Neodiprion lecontei: one gene and its partner. The protein of the gene in region 2 interacts with the protein of the main gene of each other region in a pairwise test. Links are inferred from orthologs where the notes say so. Each region holds a gene or a part of one and is shown on either strand. Other genes may lie near its edges. The genes, in order: transcriptional adapter 3-B and transcriptional adapter 2B.

Region 1 (15,776 bases), on a different chromosome or scaffold from region 2:
CGCATTGAACATTTATATTTTTTCATCCTAATCCCATTACATGTTCAGATTAGTTCATTAGTTCACAATGTTGCACCAATAAAAATTTGTTTTACTTGTATGAAATACGATGGATAAATAATGGAATACTATAGTTTGTGTGGCAGGGAGGCAAAACCGGCAACTAACCGACGAGCAGAGAAGTCTTGGTAGTATGGGATACTTAGAAAGAGGTGGATTGTCGCACGGTGGACCAGCAGATGACATGTCATGCGGAGGTGGTTATCCGTTGTGGAAACCACCAGGTAATTATTTTCCACGCGGAGAAGCTCCACCACCATATGAAGAAGCAGTAGCAGCTGCGAGAGCAGAGCAAGCTTTGCTATCTGCAAGTCCACACGCGTTATCACCATTGAATTTCTCTGGCGCGTATTTGTCGGTGAATCACGGCACTCATCCTTCATCAGTCGCGACTGTAGCAAATAGCCAAATTGGCCTCTCAGTCACAACGCCAAATCTCTCAGACAGACATGGAGCATCTACGTCTCCGATGATACTGTCGATGAATAGGCCTTTGAGCAGCCCTAACACTCACTCGAATACCCATCAAGTAAATCAGGGCGAATCCATGACAGTTGGGGCCTATGCGAGTAGCTCTGTAACCACATTTAACATAGGACCTAACACTTACGAAAATCTCCCACCACCGCCAAGCATTATCACCAACCAAACTAACGATTTATCTCAGAGTAATATTTTACCTCTACCACCTTCCCACTCCACTATTCCAAAAGCCTATCACCAGCACACGACTCTACCTCGCCAGGGCGCTGGCGCCTTTACCATATCTGCAACATTGCCCACCTCGGGCACATCCAGCCATCGCACTATTCCCAGAACCCTGGCTACCAGTGGCAGTCTCAGATTGAGAAGAGAGTTTACTGCTCATCAGCCCGTTGCTCCCCTTTTCGATACCCCACCACGGAATGTTTCCCCTCAGAATACTCCACAATCTGCTCCACCGACTGCATCAACCAATGACAATTCTATTCATTCGGATGCATTTTATGATGATGTACTTGTTGGATTACCAACTGCTGCGCCGCAGGTTGAGGGGGAGCCGCCTACCCAACCAAGTCCCAATCTAACAAATTGTGACTTTAAGGTGAGATTTTATTCGAAAGAAACATGCTAGTATTAATCAGTGGTTGGTTCCAGTTAAGAGTTAGAAACTGCATTGAGAAAAGAACATCATGACGATTGTATGCATATTTAAATACTGGTATTCAATTTCAGCCTAAAATTCCTTCAACTACTGAAGTGAACCAAGATGGAAGCATCGAATCTGTGGCATGTGCTTGCAGCATGCAAGCTCTGCCGACATTGCACGACGACGCGGATGACTATCGCAGTGAATGTGAGAATTGCAAGAGTGCAAACGGTTCCCGATATTATCTGGACAACCAGGATGAATTAGTTACTTCTCCACACGAGACAATGACATTGCATCGTAGACCAGAGGAAACACCGCTAGGCACCGCACCCCAGTATTATCGTACTTCCTTGACACTGCCCACTAGTACCCGTCAGCGTACGAGGTGAGATAAACTTTACACAGAAAATTCTCCCTAGCAAATAACTTTACCTCAGAGGAGAATAATGAGCGGGATTTCTTTAATTTTTTTTTTGTTTATATTTTTACAAATTCATTCTAGGTAGAGAATTATTAATGTGCAGCAAAAAGCTGTTCATTGATAATAACAATTGCTATGTTCTAGGAGCACCGGAGCTCGTGAAAATTGGTTCAGCTCAATGCCTGAAAGCTCCACAGAGTCTTCAGATGAAGATTAAAATTTGAATTTAAAAACAAACAACAAAAAATCAACTAACAAAAACAAAAAAAAACTCATAGTTGTGCATCATATTAGGTATTTAGAAAAAAAAAAAAAAACTACGTACAAGAAGCAGCTTGAATACGCGAGTGCCAAAAGTATTATCCAATCTTTATTGTAATTAATAAATAACCACATACATACATAAATATCTATATCAATACCAAATATTATATCTTCAAAAACAGAAATTTTGATATTTTCACTCTAGCAATATAAATATATATATGTGTGTGTGTGTGTAAAAGTATACATATACGTATATGTATATTATATCTATTGTAGGGTTAGTTAATAACGAATCAAATCTGTAACTAAAATTTTCGGGCTGAAGACAGGAATAAACCGAACGAATGGACGACCATGCCGTAACATCGGTAATTATTGTTCGTTTATGGGCAGGTTTCTAAGATTAGATAATATATCTGTTAAAATACCCACATATAATTGGTAGATGGTGGAAATATTGTTCTATACACATAGTCTTCACAAATCAACTTACAAACCTAGTTAGTTTAATCAAAACATATTTGGCTTTGAGTGGTAATGATGAATACCTTATAGTTGTCGAAATATTCTACTCACAAAAAACATTTCTTATCACGATGCAACAACAAATTTGTATAAATGCAGTAGTAGTGTTGTTACCAATCAATATTTCTACCCATTTTATCTGTACTGCATGAATTCGTTACAAAAAACTGTGCCAAATAAGAAACAGGACTTGTAGAAAAGTAGAAAAAAAAAAATTGCCAAAACTAATGAAATGTTTTATTAACAAGGCATAAGTCAACAGTATTAATTAAAAGGCAGCATATACGTCAAATTATTATCATTTTCAAATTTTTACTAAAGACATTTACACTGTAGTATATTAACACGTGTTCAAGCATATATATATATATATATATATATATATATATATATATATAATAGCATATATATATATATATATGTATATAAAAGAATAGAAGGTATCTACAAACGCTCGTTTTTCAGACTAAATTATAATTCTCTCTAAAACGAACAAAAAAGAATCAAACATAAAATAAAATAGTTTTGTCAGGGCGGAATTTATTACAATTAGCTAGGTTGTTATTCAAATATACCAGGGACAATTTTTCGAATTTAAAAAAAAGCGGCAGCTCAAGTACGGATTATTAATTTTTATCCACACATATTTAATTTTCTACACTATTACACGTAGAATCTTTCGTCCTTCGTTTCTTTTTTCTTGTGATTGGAAATCAATTGTTAATCTAGTATTATTTATAATTAAAAATCGAAAGTTTTCATCACAATTCAAACTAAACTGTATAGGTAGGCGAAACTGTACCGTTCCAATTATATCGTGTTTAATCTGACTCACTCTGTTAAACATACAGTCATTTACATAAATATATACATTCATTGATGTAGAATCTTAACGATATGGGCTAAGAAAAAATAAGTGAACAAAGTACCTATGAAGAAAGAGCAAGGTCGATACGTGTCAGGTCGCTAAATAATAGAAAAGTTTCTCTATTCGACTTAGGCCCCCTGATATACATATAAAAGATAAACATTCCGGAAAAAAGGAAAAAACGAAGCAATTTACAACTAGATTTCAAAACATGAGTAATAAAATAAAGAGCAGCATCCAATATTTCTGAAACTAATTTGAAAAAGTTTTGAACAAAATATCCAAAGTGAAACTTGTATTTTCTATAGAATGTAGAAAAGTAAACGTACGTTATCTAAAAGTAAAAAAATTAAATAAATAAAAATAAACTAATATGTTCTGACTGTAACGGTTGCATGGGGCCCAAACCAAAAAGACAAACCATAAATAATCTTTATAAGTAAATTAAAGAGAAGATCAACTAGAGCGTTATTATAACAAATATTCAGGCATAACATATAATCATTCTGTAATAAAAATTGAATGAACAAATGATGAAGAAATACGAGTTGGCTCAAAAAACATGTTAGTGTTGGTACAATTAATAAGAACCATATAATATGTAGGTGAAATGAAACTTGGGAACGTGCAAAAAGAGAGAAGTAAAAAAATTATTCATGGAGAAGAATTCTGAAATGATGAAGGGTTTGAATAGTAATTTCGTGAGATTTTTTATTTTTTTTTTTTGTTAGAGAAAAATAATCACTCTTTCCAATTAGTTGCAGGTAACATTTTTCTGAATCATTCTGTACGTGTTATATCTCTTTACCGTGACTTATGATATAACTTGATTAATAAATGATAATAGTATGCGTAAACAAATAATATTACTCGCTCGAAACAAAGATATTTGAAGATACCTTTTGTTATTAAATTGTTACCACTTGCACCACAATTATGATTCAACTTGAATGGATTCATTATTCATTTAATTTATTTGTGATATTGTATAATTTTGTTGTCGTTGGATTAACTGTTTTTTTGTTTATATCTTGATACATATATATAATATATATAATATTATATATATATATATATATATATATATTGTATATATTATATACATACATATACATATATTTTTCTATTATTACGACTTGTTTACATTTTCACGATATTTCATTTGTTGAACATTCCCTATAATTATAATCATTATCATTGTTACGAATAGCATTATCGTTACTATTATTCCAGATGATACGTAAGATTGAAAATTCTCGAATATGTATTTAAAAATAATATATTAAAATATAGATTATATGTTAATACATCTTTCCCATTTCATTATTTTCCCCTGACGGTCAATTTATCCTGTTACTACATTCATAAATCACTCAATTGTATCAGGCACCACATAAAAAAGTAATCAAAAGAACAAATTAACTTAGATGTGTAACTGTATAAATTACTACCAGAATTATAATATTGTAATCTGTACAAGTAAATAGAGCAATGTAAGCTGTAAAGTAATTGTCACATCATTCATTTTAACATTGTAATCGTAACGAAAAGTACAATAATTCAAAATATTAAACATGATAAACATAAAAATATGACTCAAATGAGATTAACTAATCAGAACTGCTATTCTACAACGCAATGTTATGTCGCATATACGCATTGGCTTGTATGACGACCATTGAGAGATCAAGCCGTGTTATTTCTTGAGTTGATGACAGTGTCACTGCCGCTTGACAGTATATTCAAATGTTCAAGTAAGTTTTCACGCTCTCTCAGGCAGCTCCAAGCCTTCTCCTGTTCTTTTTTAGTCATAGACACTTTTCTCTGTTTAGCTAGTATCAATTTTTTGTAATGTTCAACGACTTCGTTGTCGACAATGCTTATTTTACGTTTCACAGCCTGTCGTTTGCTCTCCTCTTGCGCCAATTGAAGCAGTCGTTTCAACTGTGTCACATTATGATTGGACAAAGCGGACAGTTCTTGTTGGCATCGTTTTATTTCTGCAAGAATTTCATCATCTTGATTCTTTTTCGGAGTATCAGCCTCAAGTATACCTTGCTCTACCAGCTCCTTGTGCATCCTCAATTCCAAATTCATTGAATTTTGTATAGACAAGTCTCTAAGCACAGGAGGATCGCCATCCCTAAACAATTTATTATCCATATTATTATTAGCTACATATACATTCTCTTCCAACAGAGCTGAAACTAATCTTTGGGTCAAAGGTCCTGCGATGCTATTTCCCTTCTTATCAACCTTCGAAACAAGGAGCGAAACGTCGGACCGATTTTTCTTTTTATCCCTGTTTGGATTAGCCGCATCTTCCTCCTGCAATAAATCATTATGCGCCCACAGCAGACTATAATGACGACCGAGCGGCGGGATTTTCTTCAACTCGCTCTGATCGCTATGAGAAGCGACCAATTCCTCCAGCAGCTTTAAGTCCTCCGGCATGATATCGGTGCAGTAAGGATCGACCGAAGCCCAGAACTTATTGGGAGTATCGTTTTTGGGCAAAAGTAATTTAGGGAGATCAGATTTACTCCCATCGATTCTGTTCAATTCGTGAGGATTCGGGACAACTTGAGAAGCTAATCCCCCAGAAGTTTTTTGCTTAAACAGTTTGGCCGGAAGCGGAGACTGCGCCTTCGAGCTAAAGTCCTTGAGCTTGGATTTATCCTCGCGAATTTTTTTGTCAAGTGTCGACAGGCCTTTTACACTCTTTGACCTTTTGTCTCTACGTTCTTCCGCCGACGACAAGTTTGTTATCTCATCTTGCAGTAATCGGCATCGAACTACAACGGATGAAAGCAATGTTTCCAGCTCGAGTTGTAGCGTATCCAAATCTTCCATCCCGACACATTCCTCCGCCGAACGCTGCAGAATGCTACAGTACCTTGGCAAATGTTTTCCATTGTCAACCGTCTTTAGAACAGGCAGAGAAACTGCAGCCTCTGTGCTCTCCGAACTTGTGTCAGAGTTTACAGAAGACAGATGTCCGGATTTACCTCCCTCGCGCACCTTTATCAGCGCCTTCTTTGAACTCTGTTTACCTTTACCTGACATTACGGTTTCTCTCTGTCTTCTCTGTGGGTATGTTCAGTTAACGTTCGACCGTTATAAAAATACAACCAATAAGCTGGATTGCAGTAAGTTTAAGTTATCAGTAATTTTTGTGATTTTCACCGACTGTATTAGTTATTATTATTCACCGTAAGTGTCCAATAAGCAATCTTGGAGGTTAGGTTCTGTTTTTCCTTTGTGTCCACTTACTATGGAAAAGCGAACAAATCAGGTACGTACGAAAGGTCGTCTGATCTGACGATTAGTTTTATCCAAGGTACGTTTGAAATTATCATGCCAATCATGTACCCAATTGTTTAATGATATTTCACTATCAACACCATTTCGCAAACGATGTCACACAACCCACACAACCTAGGACACAAACTAACCTGTCATCTGACTTACCAAGTGCCGTCATTGGCGGGATAGCGGAAATCGCCATCTTGAGAGATGACAACTTCAAATCGAACTACTGCAACAAGTGTTTGTTACACATTTAAAACAATATCTTCCGTCAATAACAGAACTACTTATTAAGCAGTATTACACATGTGGAACCAATTCGCAATAAAATATTCGTAAGTATGTACGTAAGCAAGTATTCATAGTCCTTCCTTGAGGAACAAGGAACATAAATTTTTTACAAACAAATTGATCATTTGAATATTTTTTCAAAATTTTATTTCACAACTTTATTATATTATAAATATTACGATTTAAAAAAAAAATTTTTTTCTTAACAACAATTTTTACTTGTTTATATTCGTTTTTTTTAGAATTCTATTGTTTAAATAATTAGTTGCGAAATTATTTTTTATCTAAAAATCATAATGGACAGTCCTCCATGAAGTAAAAAAAAAAATTTTTTTTATCAACAATTCCATTGTTTATTAACTTATCAATTTTTAACTTTGTTATATTTTTTTTCTCAAACTTCTAAAAATTAAAAAAACACCCATATATAACAAAATATATAAAAACAATTTTTTCAATTTTTTATTTTAATACAAGCTTAGCCAAAAGCTGAAAAATTTGAAAAGCTTGTGAGAAAACTTGTGTAACGACCGAATACGGCGCTGTAACGAGTCACCGAATACATGCACAAGTCCAATCGCAGCTCTCGCGCTCGAGACTTGGCCCGTCTCTCCGTCGTCGCATACCACGCGTTACCCGTATCGCTATTATCAAACGTATTGGAATATTCAATTACGAGTAACGAAAAATGAATAAACCGTTTTCATTATTTTCTTCCTTATTTTTTTTTCTCTGCCAACAGGCCATTCCGTTCTGCGGCAACAAAATCATGATGTGTTCGGCATTTTACGTACGAATTTTCTTACGCATTTGTTCGTTAAGTACAATTATTGTACCGTATTCATCAGCTTCTTTGATCTATGAAGGAAAAAGCATAAGAGAGAGAGAGAGAGAGAGAGAGAGATTGATTGATTGATTCAACCTTTATTATGCCTTGGTAGTACCATGAGGCGAATTATGAAAGTACATAAAATTATTCAGTGTAAATCAGAAATAAGTTTTTCAAGGATATCAAAATAACAATAGTTGGTATAAGTATAAAAAAGAAATATAAAAAATATTCAATAATAGTAATAAAGTTGATATAATGGTAATAGAATTATTTAATAGTAATATACATCTACAAGAGGACACGAGATAAAGAGTATGAAATAATGTGCCGAAAATAAAAATAAAAATAAAAATAAAAATAAGGACGCAATTAAAATAAAGATGAATAAAGATCAAAGGATTGTGGATAGATACAATGTGATGATAGTTAAAATTAAAATTAAAATCAAAATTAAAATTAAAATTAAAATTAAAATTAAAATTAAAATTAAAATTAAAATAGCCAAAACGTTAAAATTTTGATTAAAAATAGCTAAACCGTAACCCTATCTATAGCAAAGAGGTAGTTGTGCAGTCGAACCTTTAGAATTGGAAGTGAGGGAGAAGTTGCTACTTCGGCAGGGAGAGAGTGCCAAAAATGCATGGCAGAAAGAAAAAATGAATCGCGATAGGTAGGCGTGCGGGGTAGAGGTAAGTGGAAATAATGAGTTTTTTGCTGTCGGGAAGTATGGTTCGTTTGATTTTGGAGAGAAGATAACTCTTTCAAATATGATGGTGAGTTGCCATGGATTATGTTAAATACCATGATACCTAGAATATAGAGGTGCAGAGAAAAAAATGGTGATTCAACGATAGATGAAAATAAGATGCATATGCCAAATGAAACATTGGGAGGGCGTGTAGAGACGAAAAGGCGGGTGTGATAATGAACGAGAGCGAGTGAAACAGCATTGTCTGTCTGTTGTCAAGAATTTGTGAAAAAATTCCAAAGATCGAGCGCGAATAATAGCTACATAAATGCGTTCTTTAACTGTATGGTTAACAAATAATGTATTGCTTGAAAAATAATTGAAAAAAAGTCGAATATATTAAACAGATTTCCACACACACAATTTCAACAAATGGACGAATGAATTGGCCAACTTTTAATTATAACTACATTTATTCCAGCAATAATTAAAGATGTGCATACGCGTAATTTATAATTGTATAAAAGCAGGTGGTCAAGAAATAAGATTATCGTGAGTGATAAAAAGAAAAACATTCTTTAAATTTGGTTTGACACGTTTGACACGTTTGCCACGCTCAACATGTTTGATCGTACATAATTGTTTACCTGCTCGCTAAATTATATTTTCTATAAAAATATAAATGAAGAAATTTTTGTTTCATTTGTAAGTGGAAGGGAGGGGGGAGAAAGAGAGTAATTAATGATTCGTTTATTATTTATTTATAATACTAATATTTATTTATTTTTATAATACTGGATTTGTTTGTAGTACTATAATAATTAATTGAATAAGTATCACATGTAGAGTATTGCATCCGTTTACGAAGCAAGATCCGAAATTGCACTTCTGTAATATTAAGCAACTGAATCTTTGCAAAAAGCGGCAGAGTGGCCGAGGAATACCGCGGTTTCACTCTGTAAGACGCATGCGTGCGAGCTTACATCTATGGGTTAGCATAACAGAGAGCTAAGCGGTGGAGCAGATAATACAGAGCATGCTTCGTTATCTGCGTCCATCGCTTACCCGCCGAGAATTTAGTTCACGCAACGGACACACAGATCCGACGGAACCGAGCTTCACCAGCCTGTCCCAGGCTCTTCGTTCCGTGGGCCCTCTCAGGTTTCTCTCTGTATAGAGCAAGATTCGGGCCAACGCCATCATAATCAAAATAACAACAAATGTCGCGACTTGGTGGGGATTCATCTGATTGTTAAAAGTCGCGGGGAGGGAGTTCGCCCAACGTGACGGCTCCAAACAGACGACTTTGTCGCAGGCACGTTAATGTAAGCAAGAATTGTGACGTCAACGTCGGATCGTTCTGCTTTCGTCAGGGATGAGTAGTTTTGAAAATAAGTTGTTTGTGTATTTGGCTTATGGCTAGCCCGCCTTTAGTTGGTAGGGTGGGTGCAGATTGCTGCCGCGGTTAATAGAACCCGTGTAACAAAACAAAAAACAATAACAATACGGATATAACATAAAGAGAACAGCGGTGTCGTCATAGTTCGAATTATCTAAACAGCTTGGGAAATCGGACAGTAATTTACGGTCAAGAAGCATTCGTAGTTGTTACAGAAGTCACGAGGCGAAAGGTGATAACAAAAAGGTTTCGCGTTAAAATGGACGCTCTAAGGGAACAGGTGATGATTAATCAGTTCGTTCTGGCCGCCGGGTGCGCCAGGGAACAGGCGAAACAGTTACTGCAGGCTGCTCACTGGCAGTTCGAGGTGAGCTCTACTTCCATTTTTCATTAATTATTTCTCGTCTCGGCCGCCGAGGCAAGCCACAGTAAGTAAACAAAACACGCACGACGACGACGACGACGATACGACGGAGTAGTGATAATAAAATGGCTGCTCTTCGTTTACAAGTTTATCTTGCGCACTTTCCCCGTATCTTTAAACAACAACTCGCGGTTATTATGCGGCTACCATTATCATTTCACCCGCATGTGATATAAATCGATAATCGGCAAAAACCCGGCTGAAATTCGCTGGTAAATGAACGTCTAATTTTACCACGGATTCTGCGATACTATTATGAATATGTTGTAGTTAGTAACGTTATCGTAACTATTCGTGCTGACGAAAAACCGTTATTTCGCGATTTTGGAACTGTTTGAAATTCAGTAAACCGTAATAAAACAAAAGACACTCATGTTTTGCAATCTTAGTTCCTTCAAAATCATCGTAAAAATAAGAAATAGTGATATTTTCGTTCAATGTTTCCTTACGGTAACGCTACTAACTTTAATGTCGTTATTTATGTACCATCTTTTTCTTTTCTATCACACATCCGCCGTTGAAGGTAAACACTAATAAACAACAATCGCTCGTTGCTCGAATCTTTTGTCACCAGGCAATAGGCCGATTTGTCATTTTAAGAGATCGGAACAGCAGGAAATTGGAACTCAGGTCGCGATGATTACGTACGCATTTCGTAACAACGCCAGTCGGGTCTCAGATTGAATAATGACCGGATTTCAACCAACTGATGATCGTTTCTGCTGTAGAACGGAAATAATTTATTCGTAACATCGCTACTCAGCTTTTCATGCCGCTGACCAGTCTCTCTGGCATGTCTGTTTACCATTATAGATTATATATTTTCGGGCAGACGGGTGACAATGGTCTGTGCCAAACCAGCCTAGTAAAAAATAACTCAACTTGGCAGGTGGCAAAATGCCATTTGCGATTATTTATACTTAGTCTATGCTAGTGTAGCATAATCGGAATGAATTCATTTCACTAGACGGCTTTCGGCATTTTTTGTCATTCACTCAAGTCTTTTTTTAATTCGTATCTATGTCAATTTTCGTTGTCAAATTTATTCTTTTATCTGTCCAGTCAATGACATTCTTTTATCAAACCGAAGTTATTAACGTTATCGTAACAATTCATGCTGGGTAAAAACTGTTATTTCATGACTTTGGAATTGTCTGAAATTCAATAAACTTTAATAAAACAAAACATACTAATATTTCGAAATCTTGGTTCCTTCAAACTCATTGTAAAATTAAGAAAATAGTGATTTTTTCCCCAATGTTTCGTTGCTAACTTCAGTCTCGTAGTGTTAGAAGATAGTCTTATTTTTAATTCGCTCCACCTTCTACTCAACCTTCCACCCCGACGTGAAATTAAATCTTCTAAGACTAGTAGCGAGTAACTTATTTCTCATAACTGAGTCAATTTTACCATAAAATTGTCAGTTTCAAATACCATAATATGTTATGTATTCCTATTGTCTGGTGATATTGTACAGACTGCTCTACTTAACTGCGGCAACAGTGATATTTGCTTCGTTACAAACATATCTTAGAACTTATAAGTGCAGTTATGTTAATGATTCAACACATGCATGAATGTTTTAAATTTTAGTCACCACATGTTACAATTTTGAAATAAAATGATTGTTTCTTGTAAAAACTGCAAACAGCTAGGGTTGAAAAAAAAAAATTAAACCTATACGCAATGTTGCTCATACATAGTAGAATAAGAATCTGAATTGCATCTGAGTAACATTTGATGATCCTGTATTTAAAAAGAAACAAGGAAATTTATACTTTACATCCAAATTAGGAAAGATTGTTTTTGTTTACAATTTAAAAGGTCACTCTTGTTATCAAGAGTGATAATATTTTTTGCATCCTGCATTAAAACATCGTTTTATGAAACAATGAATTGGCAAAATAATTATTAAGACTGTACGCAAGCCAATTGTCCTGCTTCCAATCAATTTCTCCGATGAAGTCTGTGGTGTAATTTGAACATCTATTAATTTTGTCATTTACCACCTATGGTAACTCAGATTCTAATTTTGTTGTAGCTAGATTACTGAGAATGTGCTCTTTATCCCAAAGGTTCATCATTATTTTACAGGTTATATAAGTTTGGAAAACGGATAACTGTGATAATCAAGTATCTTTACGATGTTTGTCAGTTCTTTTTTCTACATTTATTTTTTTTCTGAAATCAATCGTGAACCAAATATTTTGTGATTAGATACTAGTGAGGTTTGTAAAAGAAACATACTTGTAAAGAGTATTGCTGTTTGAAAATGCTCCAACATGCTGTAAATGATCATTAACAGCACACATAAAGCGAACCATACTGATTTTACAATCACAATCCGTTCAAAGTGATTCTTTGATAGTAAAATATTGATTTTTTACGATGTTGTGTAATTTGTGAAACATTTCGTAAGGTTATATGAAATAATCAGTGAGATTGTAATAACACGTAGAAAATATTAGAGATTAGTTTTTTGAAATCAGAACATTATCTTGTTCACACCTTCTTAGAGAAACGCATAATGCAGCTGAAACAATGTTTTTAAAACATGTATTTGCACAATATTCAGGTTATAAAAATTATAGACAGAAACTCTCTTAGTAAAAGTATCAGTAATTCATTTTCATTGCAATGAACACATGGTTAATTTTATGATCTGCTTTACAATTTATACTCTCTAAATTAAAAACTTTTTCACTCTGTTCACTTATTTTATATTATATATCAGCCAATATTAGCAACTAGTTTTCATGCAATAAACCTTTTTAATAAATCTTTGAAGTCACTTTTGCTTTACTTTTGCACAAAATATTATGCGCTTTCACCAATTCCCAATTTAACAGCATATATTTTTGTTAATTTTGCTTCAATTCTGTTTACAGACAGCGTTGAGTATATTTTTTCAAGAAGCTGCTATACCCTCGTGCGCTCAAGGACCAGGAACACATTTTGGACAGGTGAGAAATAGGATAGAAATAAATAAAACTCAAATACAGGATCAAAATATGTTTTATATTTGCCTTTCACACAGAGTACATATTTCCATTCAATTCTCATTTTCTTTTTTTACTTACTAATCTTTCAGATCACACCATGCAATACGCCAGCTACACCTCCAAATTTCCCAGATGCATTATTAGCATTTTCTAAAATGTCTGCCGGAGACAAAACGCCGTCTGGTAAGTTATAACTAATGAACTTGTTTTCTGGAGTGTCTGGTCTGATGTTTGAAAAAACAGTTCTTTTGAGAAACGAAAAGTTGGCAGGCTTAGGGATCGGCTTATTCCATTGTAAAGTGCGTTACTAAACATGATTAGATCAATTAATCACTTTCTTAAGACTCTAAAAATAATTCCAAGGCCCGAGAGTATTCTAATAATAATGATAATAATAATATTAGATAAGACAATGAAATTGTTTTACAATTATCCAGGCATGTCTCCGAGCCAGAATGGGCAAGTACCTCATCAGCACCCAGGTGGCAGGTGTAGTGTTTCTGGTACACAACAACAAACCAGCCAATCTTTTGAACTCGGTGAGCCACAGAGATAAAACAAACCTACCAGCGTGCAATTTAAATAAAAGATGTAATAAGTAATACAGTGATCGTGTTCCATGATTCCTAAAAAAAAAAAAATAGGATGCAGATCATCGTCGGAAGAGTTTTATTTTTTCTTCTTCTTTGAGTGACGACTATGTTGTTGTCAGACTATCAGATGCACAGAGTTCTCATTTGCAGGGGGATGGTCCGCCTGTCAAGAATTTCATTATAGTCATGCCTGTGTGTGTGTGTGTGTGTGTGTGTGTGTGTGTGTGTGTGTGTGTGTGTGTGTGTGCGCGCGTGCGCGTGCGCGTGTGTGTACCGGGCCAATCACTTGAAACTTGAAAATCAACTGCGCAAAATGTGTACGTTTGAATTTTCAAAGAGCATAAGCATTAAATTCCGACCGTTCAACTGCATCCACGCTAGAAAAAGTTTTACAGCTGAAACTCAGGATGGCCAGCCTGCATGAACAGCCGATAAAATTTGTACATTGATTTCCAAGTTTCAAGAGATTGTCCCGGCATATATACATGTGTATTCAACACCATAGATACAGAATTTTATCTCCAATCAGTTACATATCTAGTTCAGCAGTGTCAGCTAATTGAGAAGATGTTTTATCTTCTTTTTTCTTTTCTACCTTTCATTCTAACTAGGCTTCCAAAAAAACCAAAACCTGCATTAATTTTTTTTTTCAATTCTATGGTATGACAAGGAATCTGAAAAATTCATTAGTAGTCAAACTCGGGGTCAGTTGATTAAACTTTTTTTTTTTTTTATTTTTACTATGGATATCTTGAATTATTAAGAAGCATTGCCGCCCTGGTATTTCAAGTACCTGGAGTTCCTATTGTATTGAAAATGCAGCAATCAATAGATCTTATTCATTATAGTTTTATGAAAAAACATATATTTTTTTAAATGTACATGATATCGAGCGTCAAAAGTGTTGAAAGTGTTAGGTTGAGTTAAATTGATTAAATGGTGAAGAAAACGCATGGCCACCCCCAAAAATGAAGAAACAAAAAGAAAGAAAAACCTAAAGTACAAGGAACTCGTGTTACTGAATATGTACGTTATTCTCTCAGAAACACTGACAAGTCATTGCTGCCTGCATTGAAATATAGTTACTAACTGATATAGCATACTTATAGAGTAATTCATATGGTTATTGAAATACATAATTCACAAAAAAGTAAATGATTTTAATCTATCCACGTCTTATTTTTACTTTAATATACATCGCTGAGTTGAATTCGATGATCAGGTTATTTTTGTTGCGATACTTCAAACCTCTCAAACTTATTTAATGAAGTGACATGAAAATAAGAAGTGGAGGAAGAAAATAAACAAAAGTATAAACTATTCCGTATGGGCGAATAAAAGTTTAATCAACATTTGCTATTTTTTTTGTTTTAAGATTTTTTTCTGTTGATTTTCAAAACAATTCAGTGAACTATGATCCATTGTGACTTACATTGTGAAATAGTATAATTACACTGATAGCAGATCTTTCTTTCCATCTTTGTCTCTCTTCTTATTGTTCTCAGATTGATTGATAATAAATAATTTAACTGAATGCTATAGTTGCAACGAGAACAGTGCTTTGATGATTCATACCGAGGAAAAAAATGAAAATGAAACGAAATAAGCCCTATTTATAACCTGAGGTTGAAATGCTTGGTCATACGCCAATTTGCTAATTATAAAACCTTTAGAAAATTGTCAAAATCTTTGGTAATAAGGTTTATACCAGTAATCTACATGACAAAAATAAATCAATACTATCAATTTTGAACTCTGAAAAACTGTAATATGTAAATTAGCACCCATGAATACGCGTGAAAATGAAATGAAGTGATATTTTGAGTTATAAAACCATTTAGAACATCGCTTTAATCCTAGTGGTGACAAATTTAATGATTAATCATGTAATTCTTAAGTATAGTCATCTACTCAGATAAGACGTAATGATTACATTTGTGAATTGCGTCAACATTGCAATTTGAT
Region 2 (15,795 bases):
TGTTAAAACAACACTAATTCTTCCTTCCCATTTCTTACTGAATTTTTGAAATCACTGTTATTTGTTCTTAATACGTTATTGGTTATTGGGATTTTTTGACCAAATTAATTATAGAAAGACATAAATTCAGTTATTAGGTGCTTTCGTATATTGAACTTGCGATTTGACATTAATTCATAAATCCACTTATTAGATTGTTACTTTTTGTAGTTATCTAATATTTAAAAAAATTTTTGAAAGGACAGAAAAAAAAATAAAGAAATTAGTATTAAGATGAATTCAAGCGACTAAAAATGAAGTAAAGTAAGATCAATGCTTACAGATAGAAGTATGTTTCGTTCAGGATTTGGGATAAATATGTATAATGGATTACAAAGGGAATTTGCAAATTTAGTCAGCTTAGTTAATTGATTGCCAGAACACAACAAAACCGATCAATTGAAGAAGATAGATTTCTATTTGGCGAAAGAGTAAAAACAGCTTTGATTTTTTCATGGGTAGTGCCTTCAATCTTTGTTACTTAAATCATGTAGTGATATAAAAGTCATCTCATAATACAAAAGACCTTAAACACATAACAACTACGCCGAGATGATCGGGCAACCCTTACCTTTGATCCCCAATTAAAGATAGACGGCTTTGGCAACTGGCAACTTTTCTCTACATATGATGTAACAATGTTATATTTCCACCATTAAACATTTTAATTTCATTAGTTATAACTTGTTTTGTACCTAACAGTTCCAGCTATTTTTTCTTAGATTTTAAATAAACTTGACTAATCATATAGATAGTTGAGACAATTGACCAAGATTTACCATTTGAATTACCCATCATGGATTGCTTGCTGATTAATTGTATAAGAATTGCTACTACTTTAAATGAGAATTATTCCGTTAATTAATCTGCAAGCTATGTGGTCTCATTATTACTATTTTTATTACCAATTGTTTTAAGATTGCACCTCATGTAATAATTATTTTTTAACAATAAAATGATGTTCAAATATTTTTATTAGCTTTTCCGCTACCAATCAGTTACGTTTAAATACCTAACTGTGTACAAACCCTCAACTTTTCAGGATAGGAATAGGATTTATTACAAATCGGTAAACTGGTAAAGAAAGTTCACAGTAAAGTTTAACTCCAGTTCACTTATGGTACCAAAACATTCCATTCTCATAGCTATAATCCGTTTTATAAGAGTTCATTGACATGGATGATAATTTGGGATATTTGGTAAGCGGAAAGTTAGGTGAATATTTGATTAGTTTTAAACTTCATTTCCCATGAATAGGTGTGAAATAAAATTAAGAAATTCATGTTGTTTTACAGTTTCAGAAAATCAGCAGCTTTTAATACTCCTACGTCCTTGTCACTCAATACAACTAGCTAGCTCAAATTTGTTTACGATTCAAGCATCTATACATACAGTATAATATAACTGTAATTCAAATATTCAGCAATTTGGTGGTGGAGGAACACCATGAGGCACCAGTGGCATGTTCACTCCAAGACACTTTTCTTGGCCATCAAGAGCTTTGGTTTTGTATCTATAAGTTTACACACTTCTCAATAGCGAGAGGAACAAAAAAAAAATTCGACAATTCACATTAACTAAGATTGAGAATATTTTTTTTCTTGCATTGGCTACACGTCGATAGTATGCAATACAATATTAATATTCACAATTAAATCCCACTCCTAAGTGTTTCGCGATACATAGTTAATTTCGTTATTGTAAATGAAAACAGTTTATTTATACACCTTATTTTGAACAGGTAGAAAGAAACCGAGGATTATCGATTCGTAAATTTTACAGATGAACAAGGCGAAACATAACTTGTCAAACAATAGAATTGAGCAAAAATTTCAGGGTAATAGAAGCGGAACCTAGGTATTCAATTATTTATAAATAAGTCGTCGACCGCATTCAGCGTAAGAGGACAGCTATACGTATAATAACGTAAAATATCAACCTACTTACATACATCTACTTACAATAGTACATTAATTATGAGATGAAATAATATCAGGTATTGCTCTTCAAAAATCTGGGCCAAAAATTTTCAATTTTATCAAAAACAAAGCATAATTCTCACACAATTAGACACACATAAACAAACAGATGTCTCCAGAGCAGTGTGATAACAACAGATGACAGTATTTTAGTATTGGAGCATTGAATATTGAGTAGTACTAAATTTAATCAATCTGACAATTCCTTCTCAAAATAAATATAAAGATCACAGTAATTGGTGAACACAATGTGTACGTTTCTTAAATTTAAGAATTATAAATGTGGCGGAATGTTACCTAAAGAGTAATTAAATCTCTTGCCAATACTTGACAATGAGATTAATGCAGCGCAAAATAGCAAGTTATAACTAGATCTATAGTTAAATGTCAAGTTTGCCAGCAATTAGTCGATACATTAATCTACTGCTAGTAAACGGTTTAATTTTCTTTATAACTATGACAGGAATCTTTGTTGTTAGATAAATCTATGAAAACTTGAACAATGCGACAGATTTGGCAGTATGATGAAAAAGGGTAAAATTCTTCCCACCTGTTCAATTAATATTCAAATAATAAGTTACAGTAAAATTATTTATTCCTAAGACTTGGCTTGCAATGAGCCTAAGGTGACTTAGAGATGAGGCGTCGCCTATAAATTTAATTGGTTCTGCGTTGATCAGTTCGCAGCAATCCAGCCATTGGATACCAGATAGTGAAGGATCTTGCTCTCCGGCTCAGACTGGGGTGCAACGCCTGATCTCCTATTGCCATTTAGATACTCCTGCGTACAAAGGGTACCTCAATGTTTAGCGATTGTTGTTGGCTGTGTTTACGTTTTTCTGAAAATTTATTTAATAAATATGGGAAGTGTTATACGTACTTGCAACAACAGGGTCTTTTGGGTAAGATACTGCGTTGGTTTCATATCTAGCTGGAGACACAAGGTCTTCTCTTGTTTGGTGAGAAGTTGAGCTGCCGCTTCCATCTCTACGTCCCTTGCATCGGACACTGGAAATCCCGTTGGAGAGACTTTGATGGCTGTAACAGTAGAGTTGTTGCCTTTCTCCAAAGTAGTTTTTGAGAAAGCAATTGTAGGATGGGTGGAATTGGTATGGCTATCTTGCACCGCCAACTGATTGACTGGAATCGTCGTCCGATTGGGACTGGCTTGATTGATTATGTAGTTGCTGCTGGCTGAGTCTGCCTTTGACGTGCATTTTTGGTCTGTTAAACCGCAGCTTTTTTCTTCTTCTCTGTAATCCACACGTACAATATGATTTCTCGATCTTACTGTATTGTATATTGAAGCTAATAGGAATAAATCTCGGCTAAAACAAATTTATTATTATTTATATATTAATTATATTTCAAATTTCTATTAGCTTCATAAGTAGTTTGTACAGGTATGTATGTACAAGGGGTTTTTGTGTTTTTAGTCTCACATACCTAAATTTTTTCTGTATCTGTAAGTCAGCTCAAATACAAAAAGTGAAAAATTAAAAGAAAAATATCGCCACAGCGTCAATAATCTTGCAGAGTTAGCAAATAATCACGAGGGCTATTTACTTATTCAGAAATCGAATGTGTTACAAAATTCATCGGATCTTCACATGAGATGAATCTATAGAAAAGTACGTTAGAGAAACAGGTGTGAATTTGTTTTCAAGAAATTTTTGCAACCCACTCATAATAAAAACAAAATATAATCATTTGGAAAGCGCACTTAGTTAACTGCAAACTTTGCACATAGAGCTTCGGAAAATTTTCATGTTTGAATTTGCTTCCAATCGTACATGGGACTCACCTTTTTTTTAACATTTGGCGGTGTGTTGGTGTGGACGGCCCACTGCTGCCCTAAGTGAAATGCAAACTGATACAATCTGTTCACAAACGCCTGGCAACACGCATCACAAATAATTTCATTAGTCAACAGTAAGCAAAAGCTAACACGTTATTTATTCATATTTGATGATTAGATCAATGTGAATCCGAATTTCGTGTAATTTTTTTGAATCATTTTGCTGACGCTGCAGTATAATTGTATTATGGAAAAATGCATAGGTATGTAATTTGAGATTTCTATCACCGTAGTTCATTTTATCTAAGAATTGCAAAAATTACAGCACGACCGTAATAAATTACAACAAACACAAGTAAAAGTATTTTGCAGTCGACACATCAAAATTCATATGTGAATTTCTGACGTGTAGGCACATATTACATAGGTCAATGTAAAACATGTAAGTTTGAGATAACAATGACACTAAAACTATGCCCTGAAAATGGAAGAAAATGTTGATGACTCATTGAATTATGTCTCAAGGTTATTGTCGATCTGAACAAATGTTATGGATTCAGGTTACAATAGGTGCAAAACATTTAGGTACGTAAGTGAAGCGTATAGCTTATTATACAAATGCAACATACATGCGGCGTGCATGAAACAATATCAAAGGGACCGATATGGTATTACATAGATCTAATTTTTTGCTAGTAGGGGTGTTTTTCCAAACACATATATTGAAAATTGCAAGGACCGAGTGTATTGAACATCAAAAAAGAGAAATGTCTGACTAAATGAACTTTTCTCAAGGATTTGCTTTGCTAAATTTTAGCCACTACGTATAAAAGTACATGAATAAATTATAAGGATAATTATCGTGAATGATGCTCGAGTTGCTTTATTAAGATAAAAGGATAATTATTACGAGTAATGCTGGAGTTGCTTTATTAATAAAAAATTTAAAATACGACAGCTGTTGGTGAAATTTATATCGTATATTATCACATCATAGAAAGTTTGGAAAGTTGCCAAAACAGGCAATTCTGGAAAGAATTAAATAAACAATACATTCATTCAAAACATATAAGATTTTGCAGTAGTCTTTTTTCTTCTTCGAAGAACATAATATATGGGATATTGCTGAAAAAGAGAGTTTGATAAAAGAGCGAATGGAAATGAAATTTTCCAAAGATTTGTCATTCGGATAAGCGAAATGCCAATGTCTAGGTAAAGGTGTAAGCACCTTCTGTCAATCTGGTTTGATTCTGTATCTTTGAAGAGGAAAATAAATAGCGACAGAAGTATTTACTCTGTTCGACTTTCAAGGATCGGCCAGTGACTGAGAAATGATGTGACTAATGTTATTCAATGATAAACTTCCACACACTGAGTTTAGTATACAGTTACAAACATGTAATATTACAAGTTCTACAATTTTTACAATACCGAAAAGAGAGTAACAAGAAATAAAAATCCAAACGAGAACTTACAGATTTCTTTTCAGTCCAATGATCCGTCGTTTCTGTTTGACCTTGAGTCTGTGCCATGACTTGTTCGAAATGGGCACATTCTTCATGCCTGGTGATACCGTTCTCTCTGTAACGACTAAGCTCGGTTAGCCGTAGTCGGAGCTCTCGTTCCCTTTCCAAATTAGTCAAGAATTGTTCGTGCTCCTGCGCTGTGTAGAATTGGGCAAACGTTCGCATTCTATCCCGAAATTCTCTGTATGTCAAATAATGAGCAACAATGGAAATGAAAGACAAGCATAAATTCAAGGACATTTAATTTAACAGCAAATATAACAATTACCTGAGTGATCATAAATTGTGGGTTAATTCGTTTGTTACCTGTCTTCTTTGCTCTGTTTTTTCTTGATCGCTCTATCTTTTCTTGTCGAAGCAAAGAACGAAGAGACAAGTTGATAATCTCTAACGACACGTTTTCTTCTTGCTCGTTCACGTAAGTTATTTGTGTACATGTCAACTTGGGCTAGCTTTAGCGCAATGTCAAGGTCATCGTCTTCGGCAGGAGTGAGAAACAACGAAGAAACCAAAGACTCTGCCTCGTGTTTATAATCCTGTAGAAAAGAAAGAAGTTATTCATGTAACGAAGCTGTTGAAGATGAACGAAATTTTTTTTCCATATGCTGAACATACGATATATGGAAGATTTGTAGCGCGTTGCTAGAAATTGAGATACTCGCTGTAAATAACACACCCTTTCAAAATCATCCCGCTGTGGCATATAGCCGAGCTGAGCTGCTTCTTCTGGGGTGATATCTAACGGTGGCAGTCGCGAGGTCAAGTCTGGCGATAGTGGCCCATAATCAGAGCTAGTTTGGTCCGTCAGGTTTGGTCTATAACTTTCAGTCGAAGGCCATGTCTGTTTACCGATATTTCCATCAAGATATCTGGCGATGTATTCCTCTTTAGCCTCTGCATAAAGAAAAAAAAAAACAATCGCATGAATAAGTAGTATGTTATGTAGCAATGATTTAAAAGTGTTTGCAGGATATTTTCACTCAGTTCAAAGTTCCGCAGCAATCGCTGAGCTGATATTAATTATCATATTTTAAACAGGGGGGGCTTGGTATACGTTGTAGGTAAAAGTAATGAATTTTGCAAGAAAAGAAACCTGAATCTAAGAAATAAATTCAGCTACAAAAATAACGCTCTTTTACCATCAGGTGTTCTTGTTTCAATATGTTTACTTATATCCTCCCAATTTCCAAAACCAAACTGTTCAATCGCATCGAGAAGTCTGAGTTGTTCTCTCGCTGTCCAACTTCCTCTCCCGCTAAATATGCTAATTGTACCAGAATCCTGAAAAATAAACAGAATTAAATATAACGAGACATTATTACAAAACACCATGATAAAATATGCATGTAAAAATTTGTTGAGCTCAAAGAAATGCTTACCATAAATTGATAAGAATGGTCATTTTTGTGCTGTCCTATTTCAGCACCAGCAGAAAAACACTGTAAATGAAATCACTTTCATTGTGTGACAGTGTGTATGCTGAATTTTAATTGAAGTAAAGCAAAATTTTTCATCTACAAGAAGATAACAACAAATCTGCAGGATAAGTTACCACGTAGACTGTATACAAAGATTTAGGAACAAATGAAAAAGGCAAAACTGTTGTGCACGTAAGTTCTGTACAACATAATTGCTTTGCAAAAGATAATCAGGCTGAAAAGATGCGGTGAGAATCACATATCCAGAGATTTAACGCATTGGCGAGCACAACATTACAGCAAGCATTTATGATTAAACTGAAAATAATTTTCATTCTAGATGAATATCGGATTACATATTAAGAAAAACCATAGTTCACCGATTTTTGTTTCTCAACAGTAACGATATTTCCGATTGAGTAAATTATCCTAGTAAAATGTGTTATTTTGCAAAGAGAATAAGGAAGTTGTCAAGGTAAGAAGATTTGCTATCCAAACTAAATATCTTGAGAAATCGTGGATCCGTAACGAAGCGTAAATTAATTACACACATGTAGCGGCGTTGCGAATTTCCCGCTCATCGCTTGTTGCGATGTCGCAAATACAACGGTGACGAGCGAAATTATCGAAGCGCGTCGTCTTTCAAGGCCTGAGTCAAGGGTGGGGAAAGAGGGAGAGAGAAATAAAAATATTTGCCGTTAGCAGGAGGCAAAATCTGGCGAAAAGTTTGAAGGGGAGGTGGGCAGTCGGTCGCGAGGTCACATGACTCGACTCCCGAGCATCAGGGCTGAGGGCCCCCCAATCCCCATTCGTTTCGCCCCTGGGCCACTTACGACTTACCTGTAAGCACAGATCAAAGTCGGCACATTCCACGCATTTAACACGCAACCCAGCGATGTCCTCCTGGCAATATGTGCAATTGTACTTAGCGTAGAGATCTGAGAACAATATTTAGTCATTAATACGAACCGAGCTCGACTCAGTTCGGTTGGAATCGATCGAAAATGCAATCCTTACAACGAAGGGACCTACGTACCCGCCATTATTGTTCTATGGCGTTTATTTCCAGAACGATCGCTAGTGACGTCACCACATCCTAAGGTCAACCGAAAATAACCATAAACTATTACAGCGAATCACGCTCATTTTTTAAAACAATATCAAATCGAGTACACGATGTATAGTTGAAAGACACTTCGCTCATCCGTATTTATTTTTCGAACAAAAACCACCCGAAATATACTACCTGATTGAAAAAAAATGTTTACGAGTGTAGCGTCGTTTCGGAAATGCGCATGCGCTACGCTAACGCCCCTCGTTGCATCGCTCAGGAACGTACTATGTATGTATGGTACAAAACGCCTAGCTGCCAGCAACAATTTATTCCACAATTGCCAACCTGACCAATCCTATATTCGCACGATTCAAACGTCCGTTTTCGCCCCGACGCTTCTCGGAAAATGTCATAATTATCACCCTACGAACACGCGAGAGAAAAGGTTCAACGTTTACTTCGATTAAGAGTGAGTATTCTTATTAGTTCCAAGTTTTCAAAAAAGTTTATACATTCGTACTAATCACGTTGCGTTGATTTCGCGACAAAAGAAATTTCGTACTTCAGTTGTTGCTCAAAAGCGCAGCGCGACATAAAACGTCCCTGTTTTTTTATTAACTATTTTCTAATTTAAAGTATAATCCAGTATAATATTCATCGAAATGTCAATAGTCACAAGTTGTACGAGTAAAACTTCCGAGATTTCGTTTTTGCGATTTGTTTCGCTTGTCAAAATCTACCCCAAGTCGTATCCGAGCACATCATTAGGACGCTTGGACTTGCTGCGAAAGTCCAGCTCCTGTTCGGGCCCACGAAGATTCGAAGATACCCCCAAGTTTAAAGCGTTTAAGGAAAAGCAGGCAAAAATGCAGGTTCGATGTTAGCCTCCTCTCATTAGTTACAATAATTTGACTGTTACCATCACTTTAACCATTTGATCTTGAATTGTTTTTGTAGCAGGATAAGACTTGTAACTTTTGGGAAAATTAAAAGCAATTCATTGGTTGTTAACTGCCTTTCTTAATATTTTCAGTGTGACGACGGATATCCGATACATTTGAAAGGTGGTGTTTTAGATAAAATATTGTACCATGTTACTGTAGGTGGTGTTATTATAGGCCTTGCTCAAGGCTTTTGGTTTATTTATTGTTGTGCAACGAAGAAAGCCGTGGATTGAATTTTGTTAATCGTCGTTTGCAATTTGAATTGTGTAAAAGCAGTTTATCACTAATATTTATTGATGTTATTAACATGTTAACAACAGTTTTTAAAAGAAATAGATACAGTTATCTTTGAGAATGAATACACGTTTAAAGTTAAATGTCTTTACTTTTTGTAACACAATGATACACAACATTTCATTTCTTATATACATTTTCCACGATATATACCGTATGTACGATTATTCAGCTTACTTACTAAAGAATTTAGGAGCTCATTTTTAAGGCACTTTGAAAGTATTTGAATAAAAGAACTTCGTTTGTTTCAACTTTTATAACATATTTGATAATTTGGTGTAAACGACGGTGAAAAATATTCTGAGAAAAAATGAAACTTACAGACCATTCAAAGTTTGCTGATTCCATTTTTGATTCGGAAAAGTAGCATCAGAGCTACTCAACTGGTATTCAGGTTGAAATATAAGCAATGGTTCAAATTGTAAACTTTGGTATCACAGAAACATATTTACATATTTTTCTTGGCGCATTGCAATTCACTGGAAACAGTCTGTATTCACTAGTTATATATTATCATGGTATCAAGTATTCAAAACTTTGTTTTCATTCTGCTCCGTCTTTTGATTTTCCACATCAGGATATTTCTCTTCTATCATGGCCCTGCGTTGTGCTTTAAATTCTGTCTTTTCTGTTTTCTCCGCAACTTCCACATTCTCCGCAAGTATTTCAATTGAATCTGCATTCGAGGAAGCAGAGGATTGCCAAACTTGTGCAGTTTCTGAATCATCATTACCCGCTATTCTTGATTTAAGCTTCTTGTTCATGTCAGGCTGTAAATTCACAGTTTTTGGATTCTTTACCGACTCATCGTTTGGCACATCATTATTCTTCAATTCATGCTGAGTTTGAATTTCAAGTGTCAATTTAGCTGCTCTTTCTTTTCTACGTGCCACCAAGTCTTTTAACGCTTCACTGAATAACATCAAAGTCTCTGAAATTGGTCTGTTTATGTAATCAGCGGATATCTGATCAAACCGATCATCTTCATCTGAAGATAATTCATTCTTTAGCTCCTTGAACTGATCAATAATTTGTTTCAAATTTTCTCTCGCTCCTTTCACCGCTTTAATATCCTGTGTTTCGACAATATATTTATCCATTTCAACAATATTTTCTTCTAAAGATGCTGCTCCAATTTCTTCGGTGTACTCTGTTGAATAGTCGCTTAATTCATCATTGGACCATTTCTTCAGAGACACTGGATCTTCAGAAGCTAAATCCTTTTCAAATTCTTTGAATTGGTTAATTATATTTCTGATACTCTCCTTGACATGAATGACGTTTTCTTTGTGGACTTTTGTCCTCTCCATTGAAATTGCGTTCTTTTCTTTAGACTCAAGTTTCGATACTGGCTTCATTTTTTGCGACACTGAAGGTAGATTACGTTTTGGCATTTTTACATCATTCTTATCATATTCTTGGATCTCTTCTAATTCGTTGTCGCTGGAGCTTTCTTTCTTAGACTTAGCTTCGCCCATCTTCTTCTTGATTAATTTTTTCATCGATTTCTTTAAACTACCTGATTTTTGCTGGTCCATTTTACCACCACTTGCAACTTGCTCGTGCGATGCTTCTTCTTCGATACGCGCATCGCATTCACCAGAATTGCTTCTTTCTACCATAAAGACTTCTTCAGTCGTCTCTGAATCATCATCTAGCTCAATACTGTTTTCAGTTTTCTGCAAATAGTTGTAGTTTTCCGACCCTGCACCATCAGATGTGTCTATTATCTCCATCGATTCACTTTTACTTTTCTCTTCTACTTCCACATTAATCTCATCCGCATTTTCAGTGCTCGGTGTGGAATAATCTACAATATCATTTAAAGTTACGTCTGACTTGTCAGTAATAATTACTACATTTTCATGCGGCAACAAATCACTTGATATTTGCTCCAACGGTTTTCCAATAGCCTCTAATGACGCTTCGATGTCTTCGAATATAAATCCTATATTATCCAGATCTTGACGAGTACCATCAGAATTCAGAGCAACGTTTTTGGCATCATCTTCAAAGTTTGTTAATCCATCATTCAGATCTTTCCTAACTCTAGCTTTTATCGGATCGTATTTAATATTTGCTTTTCGCTTCATTATAAAAATAGTGGGTTTCGTTTTTATCTTTATCGGCGGTATACCATTGTAGTTTAACGTGATATGAGAAAATCCGTCGACCGAGTCTAATATATCGTGAGTTTTCATGTACGGCTTTATGTTTGGCGAATATTTACTTTTAGCTTCCATTAATAAATGCGTGAATTGCAGCATTTCAGGACTATCAATTGTTATATTTTCTTGTTTGGAATATCTGAAAGGTAAAGAATCGTTCGAGAGAATCTCAAAATAGTAAGATTTTCATCATTCATCATTAGCAGCCCATCGTTTTAAAAATATCTCAGTCAGGAAGTCGCGAGTAAATGAATGACTTGTCGGCACGGATACAAGTGAAAATTATTTTGAAAAAAGGGAGTATCACTTACATCCAGTTTTTGTTAGTCTGCGTAAACCTAGAGACTCCAGTCTGTGCAGTTAGGACATCTATGTGCACGTGTACCGGTTCAATGGCATCTTTCTCTAATCGATGCAATCTGGTGATAGCCAAACCTCCAGGATAGTTGGAACCTGCCACGCAGAGCAGGAACATGGAGAATATGGCATTCAAAATTAGATGACCGAGAACAGCCAGTGCGAAAAATCCGTTCCACGATGATTTTGCTCTGTTCTCCCATCTAGTAGAAAATAAAAAACAAAAATTACGGTTTTGGCGACGAACAGAATGACTTTTCCTGGAACGAGTTTTGCTGGTTTGCTGATAAAATATGTACAAGTGCGAAACTCACATCCTGTGACAAGCTGCCGCTGCTCCAATGTTCAGAAGCGGGAAGACGTATATAACGAATCGTAATTCTTTGTGCGGTAGAAAAGAGAAGAGTAGGACGAAAAAAATTCCGGGAATAGTTAGAGCGCGCACTCTCCTGTCCCACATCATTCCCAGTGGTATGAAAAGGTACGAGAAAGCCAGGCCGCGAGGCAAAGCAGAATAAAAGTACCAAAGAAATGGTGACGTCTACATTCTGGTGTTAAGGAGGAAGAAACATTTGACTTGAAAGTAAATCGTTCTATTTGCTCGTCGATTAAGTGAAACAGTTTCAGTGTTATTTATAAAGGATACACCCCACTGACTACTTTTGTTGAGAATCGTGTTAAAGTAGAAGACTTCACCCTCGGGCCACAAAGGACGACTCCAAAAAATCGAATCTATGATCACGGTGATTCCCAGAAATAAAATGCCCGAGGGTATCGATATTTTGAGCAATCTGAAACCAATACAGTTAATAAAATATGACCAGATTTGAGGCGTGATGATGGATAGTATTCTGTTTCAAAGTACCTCGGTATCGTAAGTTTCGTACTGGCTAAGTCATGGATGAGAAATAGTCCTAATAGCATAGCTAATTCGGCTCTGAATATAATGATGGCTGCCGCTGATGAGCAGATAAACGTTACATGGTCTTGCCTGAGCCAACCATAGAGTGCGAGCAGAACTAGAAAATGAAATTTCAGCTCAATGATTATTTTGATCAACACGCTACTGCGACTAAGAGAGAATAATAATTGCAGTGATCGGAAAATTGGGGGGACAGGCTGATGATTATGCTTATTTAAAAAAGCTGCGGAGTGAAAGTGTAGACGAATCATTTTTCTTAAAATAAATAAATACCTCGACGAATACGAAATTAGCCATACCTTATTTCTTTTCTAGCTACTATTAGACCTTGATGCTACTTAATGCGTTCAATTTATGTATTTTGAGTTTTATCTGCAACATAAATATTATCACACGTTTGAATAAGTAAGATCAATTGACGTTACTTATGATAATATCAGCATTTTTTCAGTGGCATCAGAGTCAAATAATATGAAACTTTTACTAAAGATAAGAGCAATCGGCAAATGCTAGTCGACGATATACACAGGCATAAAGCTTACTTTCTTCATCAAAGGAGCGCCTTTTGAAATAGGCCATTCGAGTTCCACCCTTTGATTTCTAACGAACATGCAATCGGGAAAACTGTCTTTGAATTCATTCAAATATACATGTACAAGTGAACAATCTTCCGAACAAACCTTCATGTCGAATTTACATTATCACAGGACTGTGTCGATTGTACGTAGAATTTTTTTATTTTTTTTATTTAACGAAACGCAATTTTTAGCTCACACGCGTAACGTGAGACTGCTTAGACAATGACAACAAATAAACATTGACACCGACCTCTGTATCGACGTACAACACATTCAAACGTTAATTTCTGAAGACGACCCAAAGTGGGAGGTAACGAAATGACTAGCTTTTAGTCCTTTATTCACCTAGAGGCATGGCCATGATGTTTGGCAAAGGACGGCTCAGGTAATACATGAAGTGGTACTGCGTTATGGTGATTGCAACAAACCATTTGACAAACTGGAGGCCGAATATTTGCTGTAACGCTTGTCTGTACAGTCGTAGCGTGGCTATTACCATCAGGCCCAGTACAGCTCTCACTGGAAATGAAAAAGAATTTAGATGAGTTCCTTTTTTCGAAGTAATTAAAACGAAAAGGTATAAAGTTTTCGGAAAAAACGTTACCAACAGAGGTTTTATATTTATCTGAAATTCCAACCGATTTTAAGTTTTCACTCATACTCGGTTGTGAAAAATACAAACGCAAGTCGATGCAATTTTTAGCTATAAGAATTAAACTACCGCTATTCATATTAGTCCGAGAACTTATCAGAACTTAGCAGTGGCGACAATTTTATTTTTTGATCTCGATTGAAACTTTAGGTATGTAATTTTATTATGTGGTTGAAATCTGTAACGTTTACATAGGGAAACACTATATCTATGATATGACTACGTTTCGCTTTATTATGGTTTAGTGTGAAATTCGAATATTCTTAAATTTAAGTAAAAATTTTTGCCAAAGATTTATCGCAGCGTTAACATTGCGAATTTCCATCCCATATTTTATTCCCGTTCCACTTTCTTTGCGCATAGGATCATTAAATTACGAACATGTCGTTTAGACTGAATAATCACCCTGAGAAGATTCTTTTTCAAAATTCATCTATATTTCTACCAAAAAATAACTAACAAATAAACATGCGTCAAGATAAATAACAGCTCACCGACATATTGGGAGAAGAATTTGCTGAGATTGAGGTAATCAACAGCTGCAACAAAGGGCGTCGCAATACAGGAGATCATGATTGGACCCAGAAATGTTCTTGGCACAACTCCAGGAAACTCACGATGATCGTACTAAATTCAAGGAAAAATAGATGCATACGTATCATCAGACGGCAGTTGGTAGAGGAGAGAGGAATTATTTCAGAATTCGTACACAGCTTTTGGCGAGGCTTTTCCCAGAGATTGCCAGGCGATTTCCATCGATCAACGATCGGCGTTGTTATGGTAGAAAATTAAAGAGGTAAATACGACAAGCGTTACACTAACGACTAGTCTGAGAAAAGCTTATCGAATCGCCATGGTAGTCGAGTCAGCTATTTTAGACCTGTTGTTTGAGTAACCACAGCGTATTTTTGTGGTAAAATTTGTACTCACTTCTGTCAGGTTAAAACCGTGGTAGAGAATATCATGCATCGCCTGCAGGTTGAAACTCTCTTCAACTTTGGTGAAGGGGCAGTAAAAAAGGTGGATACTCGCCACGAGTATTACTATGCGATCCATTATTGAGTTTTCTGTTTTTTCTACCTCGGCTACATTCGTCAACGATTATTCCATTTCGGCGATGAATTCGTTCGCTGTTTTCTAGTCTCGTCTCGTCTCGTACGCAGAGCTAACTTGTCGATGAAGTGCGGCGGGAGTGGACCAGAAGGAGATTGTGATTGATCAGAAATAGATTCACGGCAGCAACGGGCAAAAGCAAACTGCCGAACTACCTGCAGACGACGACGTTATCTGTCGTCTGCTTGCCGGTTCCAACCACAGTGCTGCCAGCCGTCTAAATCTAATCGTTCCTGCCAATCTCCGTATTTGTAGGTTAGGTGATAAAAAAAAAAAAATTAATAATACAACATCCTGGAAAGAAATTTTACCGTGTTTCACTCTCACAAACGTTTTATATGTATTTATCGTTGATTTCGTTGAAGTCTAACTTTACGTTGCTTGTAGAAACGGGTTTGTTGTTTTTAAGGTTAAATATTACCGCCTTCGTGTCGCAGCTTAGTTTCTACAGATGGCGCCACAAATCACGCGACGCGAAAATTCTCGTCGGTTTGAATTATAATTTGAAGATACAAAGCGTTGACTGAGGAAGTATACCTGTACAAACATAATCAATACTCGATGAAAATTCTAGCCAAAGCTCTAAAACTTAAAAAATTATAAATAAATAACGGCGTCACTAGGATGTTTGAAAATATTTTAAACAAGTCTTGGCAATTTTGTTATACATCTTTACGCATGTATTTCGTAGCAGGGGGAAAGAGATGTGCATATTATTATCGGTACAACGCGATAATGTACGTCACCTTGTATAATCACATAACGTCGTTGCGAAAGAGAATATCTTTCGCGTTGTTTTGTATATTCATATATAATTCGTATGAATTATTCGAAATATGCAGATGGAATCTCTTGTACGTCCGGAATTATATACATACACATACATATACATATACACATACCTACTGAGATTTAGTGAATATTTCGACGTCAGAACTCGAGGATGCTTAACT

Evidence for each region.
Region 1: the proteins of transcriptional adapter 2B (region 2) and transcriptional adapter 3-B interact in a two-hybrid assay, tested with the Drosophila melanogaster proteins (4 studies listed by BioGRID). The link is inferred for Neodiprion lecontei from reciprocal best matches to the Drosophila melanogaster genes Ada2b and Ada3.

The regions. Positions count from the first base shown.
Region 1 is NC_060266.1:16,328,205-16,343,980, reverse strand, and holds transcriptional adapter 3-B, read right to left. Parts: upstream 6,742-15,776; 5' UTR 6,340-6,741; coding exon 4,960-6,339; 3' UTR 4,389-4,959; downstream 1-4,388. Other genes in the region: uncharacterized protein LOC107218362, read left to right, coding at 135-1,144, 1,276-1,577, 1,758-1,830; lysosomal alpha-glucosidase, read left to right, coding at 13,674-13,757.
Region 2 is NC_060263.1:6,642,322-6,658,116, forward strand, and holds transcriptional adapter 2B, read right to left. Parts: upstream 8,056-15,795; 5' UTR 7,804-8,055; coding exon 7,797-7,803; intron 7,699-7,796; coding exon 7,601-7,698; intron 7,555-7,600; exon of another isoform or gene 7,342-7,554; coding exon of another isoform or gene 7,312-7,341; intron 6,782-7,311; coding exon 6,722-6,781; intron 6,624-6,721; coding exon 6,482-6,623; intron 6,237-6,481; coding exon 6,019-6,236; intron 5,879-6,018; coding exon 5,649-5,878; intron 5,524-5,648; coding exon 5,292-5,523; intron 3,913-5,291; coding exon of another isoform or gene 3,873-3,912; coding exon 3,823-3,872; intron 3,347-3,822; coding exon 2,899-3,346; intron 2,800-2,898; coding exon 2,695-2,799; 3' UTR 502-2,694; downstream 1-501. Other genes in the region: uncharacterized protein LOC107223641, read right to left, coding at 9,574-11,359, 11,532-11,780, 11,892-12,118, 12,224-12,368, 12,443-12,596, 13,423-13,596, 14,224-14,356, 14,660-14,785. UniProt on the Drosophila melanogaster protein: Component of several Gcn5-containing histone acetyltransferase complexes that regulate nucleosome organization; involved in acetylation of histone H3, particularly on Lys-10 (H3K9ac) and Lys-15 (H3K14ac).